Linked DNA regions of Cricetulus griseus. The protein of the gene in region 1 purifies or fractionates together with the protein of each later gene. This does not show direct contact. Links are inferred from orthologs where the notes say so. Each region holds a gene or a part of one and is shown in the gene's direction. Other genes may lie near its edges.

Evidence for each region.
Region 2: the proteins of Eps15 (region 1) and Crk purify together in Homo sapiens (affinity purification with mass spectrometry; 3 studies listed by BioGRID and IntAct, with this or other methods). This does not show direct contact. The link is inferred for Cricetulus griseus from reciprocal best matches to the Homo sapiens genes EPS15 and CRK.
Region 3: the proteins of Eps15 (region 1) and Ap2a1 purify together in Homo sapiens (affinity purification with western blotting; 5 studies listed by BioGRID and IntAct, with this or other methods). This does not show direct contact. The link is inferred for Cricetulus griseus from reciprocal best matches to the Homo sapiens genes EPS15 and AP2A1.

The regions. Positions count from the first base shown.
Region 1 is NC_048595.1:40,533,763-40,538,003, reverse strand, and holds the start of Eps15 (epidermal growth factor receptor substrate 15), read left to right. Parts: upstream 1-1,296; coding exon 1,297-1,329; intron 1,330-4,241. Other genes in the region: uncharacterized protein LOC103159787, read right to left, coding at 909-1,298. UniProt on the Homo sapiens protein: Involved in cell growth regulation. May be involved in the regulation of mitogenic signals and control of cell proliferation. Involved in the internalization of ligand-inducible receptors of the receptor tyrosine kinase (RTK) type, in particular EGFR.
Region 2 is NC_048600.1:89,144,326-89,148,451, forward strand, and holds the start of Crk (adapter molecule crk), read left to right. Parts: upstream 1-1,182; 5' UTR 1,183-1,328; coding exon 1,329-1,569; intron 1,570-4,126. UniProt on the Homo sapiens protein: Involved in cell branching and adhesion mediated by BCAR1-CRK-RAPGEF1 signaling and activation of RAP1.
Region 3 is NC_048599.1:153,739,085-153,741,766, reverse strand, and holds part of Ap2a1 (AP-2 complex subunit alpha-1), read left to right. Parts: intron 1-246; coding exon 247-344; intron 345-531; coding exon 532-763; intron 764-840; coding exon 841-1,008; intron 1,009-1,093; coding exon 1,094-1,254; intron 1,255-1,821; coding exon 1,822-1,878; intron 1,879-1,977; coding exon 1,978-2,060; intron 2,061-2,188; coding exon 2,189-2,278; intron 2,279-2,682.

The DNA.
Region 1 (4,241 bases):
ACAGGTACCACTGAACTGCACTGTGGTCCTACACATTTGTTTTTAAGTGAACACTCTAAGAGAGAAAGGTAGCAGACAAGGGAAGTAGTCTTGTCCTGCTCCCCAGATTTTGGCTTTAGGAGGAAAGGATTTATTACTTGCCTTCATTTTCAACATGACAGCAGGTAGAAAGGCCTTGGAGTTAAACTGTAATCTGGCTTTTTAGTCAGATGTTTGACTTCAGGTAAGATAATTTCTTTTTTTGGAGGGGTGTTCCTTTTTTTTTTTTTTTAAATTTCAGACAGGGTCGTATGTATCACCTATGTATCCTTGGCTGTTCTGGAACTCACTATGTAGACCAGGACTGTTGGGAAGCTCACAGAGATGTGCCACCATGCCCAGCTGGGTTTCATCTTCCTCATTTGTATAGTTTTTTTTTTTTTTTCTGTTTCAAATCCTCTAGTCACGCAATTAAAAAAGAAAGAAAGAAAGAAAGAAAAGAAAAGAAAAGAAAAGAAAAAAGCCGGGTGGTGGTGAGGCAGAGGCAGGCATACCTCTGTGAGTTTGAGGCCAGCCTGGCCTACAAAGCAAGTTACAGGATAGCAGGACTACACGGAGAAAAACCTGTCTTGAAAAACAAAAACACAAACAACAACAACAACAAAAACAACAAAAGGGCTTTTAGGACTGGAGTGGTAGCGCACACCTTTAATCCCAGCACTCTGGAGGCAGAGGCAGGTGGATCTCTGTGAGTTCGAAGCCAGCTTGAGGCTACATAGAGACACCATGTCTCAAAAGCAAGCAAACAAAAAATTAAAGCATTTAGTGCAGAGCCAATCGCACATAAATTAGTATAGTTTAATATTATTATTGCTAAACCATTGCTATCATTACTTAGTACCATTACTCTCGTAGTTCCCACAACCCACCTGGACCTGGGTATATTTTCCCGCACTTTTCAGGAACAGCAGCCCAGAAAGGTAGGCGTTTTGTCTCAACTTCTCAGGTCTCTGTGGGGGCCGCCTCCGCCGCCAGTCCGCCCGGTGCGCCATCCGCACCGGGTTTTCCAGGGCGGCCGGGGTCAGGGCCTGGTTCCGCGCCCCAGACACCCGCGCCGGGCTTTGCGCGCCGCCGCGGCCTGTGGGGCGGGGCGGCGGCGGGGCGGGGCGGGGCGGGGCGGCGTGAGGAGGGAAGTTGTCGAAGTTCGGGGAGACGCCCGGCCGCCGGCCTCGCCTACGGCCTGTCCCTCCGCCTCCTTCCCGCCCCGGGCCCCCGTCCGCCCGTCCTTCCTTCTTCCCGTGGCATGATGGAAACACCATGGCTGCGGCAGCCCAGCTCTCCCTGACACAGGTAACGCCGCCCGCCGGTCCGCCCGGGTCGACCCGCCGGGTTTCCCCAGCCCTCCCCACCGCTCTCGCGCTGGCGCGGCGGCGCCCCGGGGCGCGCTCGGCGGAGCGCGTGAGGAGCGCGGGCGCGCCCCCGCCCCGAGGCGCGGCCGCCGCGCCCCGCCCGGGTCGCCGGGCGCACGGCTCCGCCCCGCGCGGCTCCCACCCTGCCGCCTCCGCGGGTCTCCGCTCCGCTCCCCTCCCGGTCCCGTCAGCGCTCACGCTCTCGGGAAGTTTCTCTGCGGGCCTGACGGCCGCCAGGTGAACTCCCGTAGGGCTCGCGCAGTGCGAGGCTCGCCCTCGGCGGAGCGGGGTTCCCTCAGCTTTGCTCGGCTTTGGCGTGCGGGAGTGACCGCTGCCGAGATCCCCCCGGCTCCCCGAGTCATCCTCGCTTCCAGAAGTCGCAGCCTGCCCAGGTACTTGCCCCACTCGCGCCTCTCCCTCCTGGCAGGTTAACTTCTGCTCAGATCCCCTTGCAGACTTTCCCACCCGTGCGGGGCAGTCTCGGATCGCCGACCCAGTGGGTAACAGCGCCAGCCTTCAGCAGGTGGGGTGGCCCTGTCCTTCGCCGTCTGGGATCCCCCGGGGGACATAACTTTGTCCTAGGACGATTTCATCCAAAAGCTGTTTTCGATCTCTCTGAATCGCTCCCCCGTCTCGCTATTTCGTCCCCCCCCACCCCCGTTTTCCTTCATAGTCAAGTCCTAGAGTTTCATAGGGAACTCTTGAACATATTCACTCAGGAGAGCCGGAGTTCTCCGTTTCTTTAAACCCAAGAGCAATCCGACATCCAGGAGAGTGAGGTGCCATACACCTGCCATTCCATCCATCTTAACTGCCCAGAAGTTTGTCCTCCCCAGAGCTGGTAACTGCCCACCTCAGCTTTACAGCCTGCCCTGTGATAGCTCCCTTCCATCTTGTCTCTTCGGCCTAGATTTACTTGACTTAAGCTAAAGTTTTTACACTAAGGTAGGGCATGTGTTTGGACAGTAGACTCTTACTGTGTTACGATGAAGGAGTCTTATGATTTTTTCTTTTTCTTTTCCCCCTAGCATTTTTGGATAGAAAAGAAAAAAAGTATCTTCCCTAGGGACCAGGATGGAGATTTTACTTACTTTGAGACAGGGTTTCATGTAGACCAGGCTGTCCTTGAACTCAGTGAGTAGTCAAGAATAAATTGAATTTTGGCTCATTCTGCCTCCATTTCCCAAGTGCTGGGATTATAGGCTGGGCCACTATACTAAGTTTATTTATTGCTAGGGATCAAACCCAGGACTTCATGACGGCTAGGCAGGTACTCTACCAACTAAGCCACATGCCCAGAAAAAGTGATTATATATATTATATATAATATATATAGTCTCTGTCTCCGTGCCCCCCCCCACACATCTCTTCAGGTAAAAGAGTTTCAGTGTACAGGAATAGCCTCACAAACCTCACTGCACATTTATTTCCTGTGGGTCATTATGTTTTGATCAGCAGATAACAGGGAAAACTTTTAAGATAGAGCCTTTAACTGGTCTAGTCTTGGTCATTAATCTGTTTGGAACGATCATTCTGAAACTCAAATTTGGGGAATGGAAACATTGACTTTTGGGTGTTGACTTTCTTAGTCTAGTTAGTGACCTGCCTTAAACATGATCTCTGTTGGCAGTCTGTTCTGACTCTGTTGGCTAATTCTGGCAGTTTCCCCTCTTAAAGAATTCGTTCCCTTGAAGACTTCTTAGTTGTGTGCCTACTTGATTTTCTCCTTGGATGGGACTGTGTTTTTAGTTTCTGTTTACTATCATTCATCTCTGGAAATTTGCTTCAGGCTCTTACTTTTATAGTCACTTTCACAATTTACATATGTTCTTGTGGTTATATATTTAGGTGTTAACATGTATGCAGAATAAATGCTGAATCAATAAGGGGAATTGAACTTTAGTATCCAGTGTTTGAATTTATATTAATAATTCAAATAAGTCAATTTAGAATATTTTGATATTAAAATACCAAGATTCAGTGAGATTATATTGTAAAGGCACAGAAGAAAACTGTTTTTAAATATTTACTAATGTGTCTTCCTTTGAAACCTAGTAAATTTAGCCTGGCGTTGGTGGTGTATGTCTTTAATCCCAGCACTTGGGAGGCAGAGACAAGCCGATCTCTGTGAGTTCAAGGCCAGCCTTGTCTACAAATTGAGTTCCAGGACAGGCTCCAAAGCTACAGAGAAACCCTGTCTCCAAAAACCAAACCAAACAACAAACAACTCCCCCCCCCAAAAAAAAAAATCTAGTAAATTTGTGGTTCTTAGATCGAGTTAATTAATGTATATGAATGTTTTGCCTGCATGTATATATGTATATGTTGGCATGTGCATGCCTGGTGCCCATGTAAGTCAGAAAAGGGTGTCAAATCCCCTGCAGCTAGAGTTATGGATGGTTATAAACCATCATGTGGGTGTTGGGAACCCAACCTGAGTTCTCTGCAAGAGCAATAAGTGGTCTTAACCAGAGTTAAGTCTCTACAGCCCCTGGTTTTTAACGTGTGTGTGTGTGTGTGTGTGTGTGTGTGTGTGTGTGTGTGTGTGTGTGTGTGTGTGTGTGTGTGTGTGTGTGTGTGTGTTCTGAGACAGTCTCACTATATAGCGCAACCATGGCCTTGGCTGCCTGGGACTTTGTAGACCAGGCAGGCCTCAAATTCAGTTATACCCACGTCTGCTAGGTTTAATTTTTTTTTTTTTAAGTTAAATTAATTGGGTCTGGTGGCACATATCTGTAATCCCAGCACTTGTCAGTCAGGCAGGAGGAATGCTGTTGGTTTAAGACTAGTGTGAGGTATATGGCATGTACGCCAAGGCAACACAGTGAGACTATCTATAAAAGTGTGTGTTGT
Region 2 (4,126 bases), on another chromosome or scaffold:
CGGGCTGTGCACTGGAATCTTAGCAATAGTGGCCAGCCAGGCATGTTGGTGCATTCTTATAATCCCTGTACTGGGGAGGCTGGCGTGGAAGGATCTTGAGTCGGCCTGGGCTACATCATAAGATTTCATGTCAAGCAGGGCATTGGTGATGGCACACGCCTTTAATCCCAGCACTCGGGTGGTAGAGGCAGGTGGGTCTCTGTGTTTGAGGCCAGCCTGGTCTACAGAGTGAGTTAGAGGACAGAGAGGGATACACAGAGAAACCCTGTTTCAAAAAAACAAAAACAATTTTTTTCATTTCAAAGTAAAAAAAAATTGAGAGAGATGATCATGATCATGAAGCAAGTGAGAGTAGGAGACATCCATCACTACAACTGAGAATATAGAGGAAACTGTCTGGTTGACATAGGAGCCTCAATCCTTTCTCCTGTCTGAGCATTTTGTTTTCTTTGCATTGAGTATCCTTCCCCACTTGCCATTCAACACCCAATCATTCAAGCCACCTCATCTGTGGACCCTTGTTTGTTGTTTAGGTTTTGTAAGGTAGGGCCTCAGACTCACAGTAATCCTCCTGTCTCAGTTTCCTAAGTGTTGGTGTTACAGTCATGAGTCACATTACCAGTCCCTTGGATCCCTCTACAGACTGCCTAGTTGATCTCTTTATATTCCTGTTTTCCATCATAGCATTTGTTGTTCCTTTGTCATTAATTGTTTCCTGGTTCCTCCCACTGGTCTGTGAATTTGGTGACTTACGGCCCAGTCTGGATCACCACTGCACCTGCAGGGAAATGTAACGTCTATGATTGTTACTGAGTAACAAGAACTTCTGCTTACCTCGGGGGAAACTGAAGAAAACAGCAGAAAAATACCAGCTTGTCAGGGAGCTTTGAGGGAGGCTAACATCTTGGGACCGTTTACTACTCCACTCCTGTAGGTCCTGGGCGAAAGACCTAGGCCACCAATCTGTCAGACACACATCAGTCAGCTTGCAGACTGAAGCTCCGCCCCTTAGTCCTAGACTCCGCCTCCCCATCCTCGGTCGCCAGGGTTTGGACCTGGAGGCGACGCCCATGAAGAAGCCGCGTGCGCACTGCGGGCCCCAAGGACTCCGTTTCCCTTCTCCCAATGGCGGGCGGCGGTCCCCCTTCCCGGCAGCCTCCCTCGGGTAGAGAGCGCGTCATTTCCGGTGGGGAAGGCCCGCGGCCGCCGCCGCCATTTCGGGCGCTGCTGGGAGGCTGACACCGGAGCCGGTCCGCTGGGCGGCGGGCGCCAGGGCTGGAGGGGCGCGCGTGGCGGCGGCGGCCCAGCGTGAAGGCGCGGAGGCGGCCATGGCGGGCAACTTCGACTCGGAGGAGCGGAGTAGCTGGTACTGGGGCCGCTTGAGCCGGCAGGAGGCGGTGGCGCTATTGCAGGGCCAGCGGCACGGGGTGTTCCTGGTGCGGGACTCGAGCACCAGCCCCGGGGACTATGTGCTCAGCGTTTCGGAAAACTCGCGTGTCTCCCACTACATCATCAACAGCAGCGGCCCGCGCCCTCCAGTGCCTCCGTCGCCCGCTCAGCCTCCGCCGGGTGAGGGACAGGCGGGCGGGAGGCCCCGGGCGGGGGTGAGGGCCGTGGAACTCTGGTCCGCTTCAGGAGGAGGGACGTGGGCAGAGAGGGCAGGAGTGACCCTGGCGGGGGAGCTGCCTTCAGCCCAGGCTGGTTCCCACCGACGAGCGGGATTGTGGGGGAGGAGGAGCTGCTCACCGAGGCCTCTGGGTGTGCCTTGGGAGCCGGGGAAGGGGAACTGCTGCGGCCCCGGGGTGGGGCTGGGCGCCAGGGTCAGGCCCAAGGGCAGGGCAGGGCCAGGCAACTTGGGGACAAAGAGTTAGTGGGGATGTTGCGGGGACACAATTTGGCAGAGGTGCCCAGAATGGATCTGCTAATCCTACAAGTGGCTTTTAGGCTTGAAACGTTTCCTGCAGTGTTAGAGCCGGTTTTGGCCATACTCCCCTGGTGGCCTTCGGTAGGAAGTCACCACGTACTGGCTGGCTGGGAGGGATGGAGACACCCTCAGGAAGCCGGTCGGTTTTTTCCTTTCTTGGGCATTTTTCCAAAATCTTTTTACCGTGTTCTTCCCTTGTGGAATACGAAGGTGGTGAACTAAGTGACTTGGTAATAGAAAAAAGCCTTCTGTGACCAGCCCAGAGTAATTGAAGCCTAGCTGGCAAACTGTCCAAGAGGTTTGAAGTGTCCAAAAGACTGCCTGCTGCAACTAGAGTTTCTAGTTTCAAAGTGATTAGTGGGGGAAAGGTTTTTTTTTTTTTTTTCCTTCAGAAAATAAACCAGGTATAAGCCAGTGAGAACAACCCTGGAAGTGAATGGAGCTTCATTCTCCTTGGGTTTAAACAGTGTCAGTCATGTACTTCTGGGTCTTTTATTGCTCAGTAAGTTGGTGTTGTAGTCAAAGTCTTCCAAGATACAAGAACAGACCTGTCTGTAAAGATAACACCAAGCATTTTAGTTATCCCACGGGGTCTTGTCAAGGATCAATGAATTGTAACCGCCTTGCCCATACTGTTGGAGTTGTCTGGCAATGTTAAGGAAATACATCCACTTAGCACTTGAGGTTTTTGAGATACAGAGTGATTCTGTGATTGCCTTTGTCTGTGTATGTATGTAATGCATCAAGTTTCTTGCTTTCTGGATGTTTGAAGTGAAAGCCTTTTTCTCCTAGATCTGAGCCAGTCTCATGAATGAAGACTCCTTGGCTAACCATAGCAGACCTGCCCTTTTTAGGATAGTCCTAACTTAGATTTATTCACTTTGGCCTGAAATGAGGTGCGATAAAGATAGTTCTTTTTGTTAGCACACACAAGTTAAGGGAAGAATTTAGTATTGAGGTCCTTTTAGTTTACACATTTAGATCTTTCTAGGTCTCATTGGTTTAATATGTAAAATAAAATAAGAATATTAATGTAGCACATTTGCCCTAAAGGTATTTGTGCCATCTGCAAGGTATCTATTTTATGTTAAGTGCAGTACTAGGATGGTATGTTGTCATTGAAATTCAATTTCCAACCACATGTCATAGTTAATGCCTGTAATCCCAGCACCTGGGAGACCGAAGCAAGATGATTTTACAAGTTCCAGGCTATCCTGGAGAACTTAGTAAGACTCTGCCTCAAAATAAAAAGTTAGGATGGGGGTGGGACTGGGAATATAATTCAGTGGTAGTTTATTTGCCTAGCATTAGGGAAGCCCAGGTTTTATTTCCAATAGTAGGGTAGAAAATTTCAGTCCTCAGCTTTCTCTCTATGTGTTTTGTTATAAAACTTGGGAATAGTAGCAGGCAGGTTTGTTAGTTTGATATTTCTCCATACCTGGGCATTGTGGTTTTATATCTCAGCAGCTCCACCTTTTCAAAATAGATGGTTGGTCTAAGAGAGGAGATTGCCAGTTTGTGGGTGGGGTAGGAAAGTTCATTGGCATTGTGGCAATTTGTTCTGTCATGTACCCTATTTTCTCTTTAGGGCAGTCAGTTCACTTGCTGTTTTTTACTTTATGATGGATACTTAATCTTTGCCCCCCCCCCATTAAGCTCTTTTTGTTTTAAAGCTACATAGGGATTACTTGAGTTTTAGAGAGGCATATATAATATTAATAGCTGACACTTATTGACTGCTTATTGTATGCCAGATGCTTTGCTGAGGACTTTCTGTGCCTTACAGAAGTTACTGTCGGTAACAATATAGTGAGTGAAATATTGCAATGTGCATTTATTAAAATATTTCCAGTTTTTGGACGAAAGAACTAGAAATCCAGTAACTTGTAAGGTCACAAATTTAGTATATAACTAAACCAGAATTTGAGCTAGACAGTGTCACCTGAGAACTGACCCGGCCCCTTATTATATAGTTTTGTTATTCTTTGTTTATTTGCTTTGAAATCCCTGAAGTGCACTTAGGAAACTCCATTCTTTTGTTTTGAGACAGAGTCTTACTGTGCAACCCTATCTGGTCTGCAACTGTCTATATAAACCAGGCTGACTTTGAAAAATCCTCCTGCCTCTACCTCCTGAGTTCTGGGATTGAAGGTGTTCACTAGTGCACCCAGCTCAAAATTTTAAATAAATAAAAGTCAGAGC
Region 3 (2,682 bases), on another chromosome or scaffold:
AGTGCCCTCCCTTCTCCCAGGTAGGTTCCACAGTTTTTAGTACCTTCCCAAACAGCGTCAGCAGCTGGGGATCAAGCACTAAAATCATAGTATGTGTGGGAGATCTCAGAATCACACTGTAACATTGAGTTTAGGCTAGTCACTTAACAACTCCCATGCCTCAGTTTATGACCCCATGTACATTGCAGAGGTCAGGGGGACTTTTCTATCCTTGTCCTCACACTGCTGTCCCTTGCTCCCTCACAGGCCCTCCAGGCCCCAGCCTGTCATGAAAACATGGTGAAGGTCGGTGGCTACATCCTTGGGGAGTTTGGGAATTTGATTGCTGGGGACCCACGCTCCAGGTGAGGGAGCCTCATTCTGGGGGACCTACTAGGGGTTGGGGAACCCCCATGAGGCTGAGAGCTGAGAAATGATGGGGTTCCTAGGAACCTTCTCAACACGTTTCAGTTGCCCGCTTGGGTGATGTCATAGCCTTGCCTTAAGGTGTGTGGGTGACGGGCGTGTCTGCTGACCTCACCTCCTCCACAGCCCACCTGTGCAGTTCTCACTGCTGCACTCCAAGTTCCACCTGTGCAGCGTGGCCACTCGCGCCCTGCTGTTGTCCACATATATCAAGTTCATCAACCTCTTCCCTGAGACCAAGGCCACTATCCAAGGAGTTCTGCGTGCCGGCTCCCAGCTGCGCAATGCCGATGTGGAGCTACAGCAGCGGGCAGTGGAGTACCTCACCCTCAGCTCTGTAGCCAGCACCGATGTTCTGGTCAGAGCCCATGCCCCACACCTTGGGACCACCCTCTTGGGCCATAAGTGCCCCCTAACCTCCCCTCCTGCCCACAGGCTACTGTACTAGAAGAAATGCCCCCATTTCCTGAGCGCGAGTCATCCATTCTGGCCAAGCTGAAGCGCAAGAAGGGCCCTGGGGCAGCCAGTGCCCTGGATGACAGCCGTAGGGACACCAGCAACAGTGACATCAATGGGGGTGTGGAGCCCACCCCCAGTACCGTGGTGAGCCCAGTTATGGACCACATGGCCAGGCTGGGTCCCCTCTCTCTTGCCCTGTCTCACCTATACCGTCTAACCTTAATTGCAGTCGACACCCTCACCCTCCGCGGACCTCTTGGGGCTGCGGGCAGCCCCTCCCCCTGCTGCACCTCCAGTCCCTGTAGGTGGGAACCTCCTGGTGGATGTCTTCTCTGATGGTCCCACGGCACAGCCCAGCCTGGGACCCACCCCTGAGGAGGCCTTCCTCAGGTACCTCCTGTTCCTGTCCTACTCAGCCCCATCCCCTTTCATCTCCTTCCTGTGCCTAGCCTCTGGCTGCCACTAGACTCTGCTGCCCTGCCTACCTTGTGCTGTTCTTTCCCATAGCTGTATCTCAGCCCACTTTTCTTTCTGAACCCTCTTGCCTCTCTTTCCCTGGCCCTCTTGCTGCCCTCTGGGATTGGCTGCCTGCCACACCTGTCTTCTCTGTCTGCTCTGGGATTGGATGGCCCAGCGAGCTGGAGCCCCCTGCCCCTGAGAGCCCCATGGCTTTGTTGGCTGACCCAGCTCCAGCTGCTGAGTAAGGGGTGGCCTCTGGCTATTGGGATTGACGGATGTTCCCAGGGTGGGCTTCAGGGGTTTCTGATGACTGGCAGGGTTAGGAAACAGTGAAAGTTGGGGTCCTAGGGAGATCCCTCTGCCAGGGTCCCACTCCCATTCCTGAGGGTCTCTGGGGAAGCTTGGCCTGTGGGTTCTGGGGAATCTGCCTTCCAAGGGAGTGTTGCCTATACCTGTTTCCTCAAGCCCATGTTCATCTCAATTCTTCCTCCCCTCCAGCCCAGGTCCTGAAGACATAGGCCCTCCCATCCCAGAAGCAGATGAACTGCTGAATAAGTGAGTTCTGGGAGGGGTGGGCTGGAGAGTAGGGACAGTTGGGAACATAAAGATGGGTGGTCAGGAGCCCTACCATCCTGACTCCCACCACTCTGCCAGGTTCGTGTGTAAGAACAGTGGGGTCTTGTTTGAGAACCAGCTGCTGCAGATTGGAGTCAAGTCCGAGTTCCGACAGAACCTGGGTGTGTCCTGGTAGCCTGGAGTGGGGTGCTGGAGGGTGGGTTCTCGGCAGTCACCTCTGCCTGGCTGAGCTGGCGGTAGGGGATGGGATCAGAAGAGCTTGGATGGAACCCTTACCCACCCGCTGCAGGCCGAATGTATCTCTTCTATGGCAACAAGACTTCTGTGCAGTTCCAGAGCTTCTCGCCTACCGTGGTCCACCCCGGAGACCTCCAAAATCATATCCTCTGCTCTTGGCCTTGATAGTGCCCCAACCCACTCCTGTAGGCCCATGGGAAGCAGACACTCACTCTGAATTAGGCACATGCCACTTCCAAGACTGTTTGCATAACCAGGGACAGATGACAGTGACCCAATGAACAGGATGTATGACTTCCAGCACCCTAACTACCTTGCCAGACTCATGACCTTTGCTGGTGTGGTCTGTGTGGGGCTTCACGCCCTGCGGCTGCACTCGGTTTAACCAGGGATGCTGCATACACTGCTGGCCCTGCAGTGCCTCAGCTGGGCAACTTGCTTCCTAACCCTCCAGGAAAAGTAGATCTCCCTCTTCTGCTTTTGAGGACCCTTTGTTGTTTTGAAACTGTTTAATGTAGCCTGGGCTAGTCTCTACTCACTCTACAG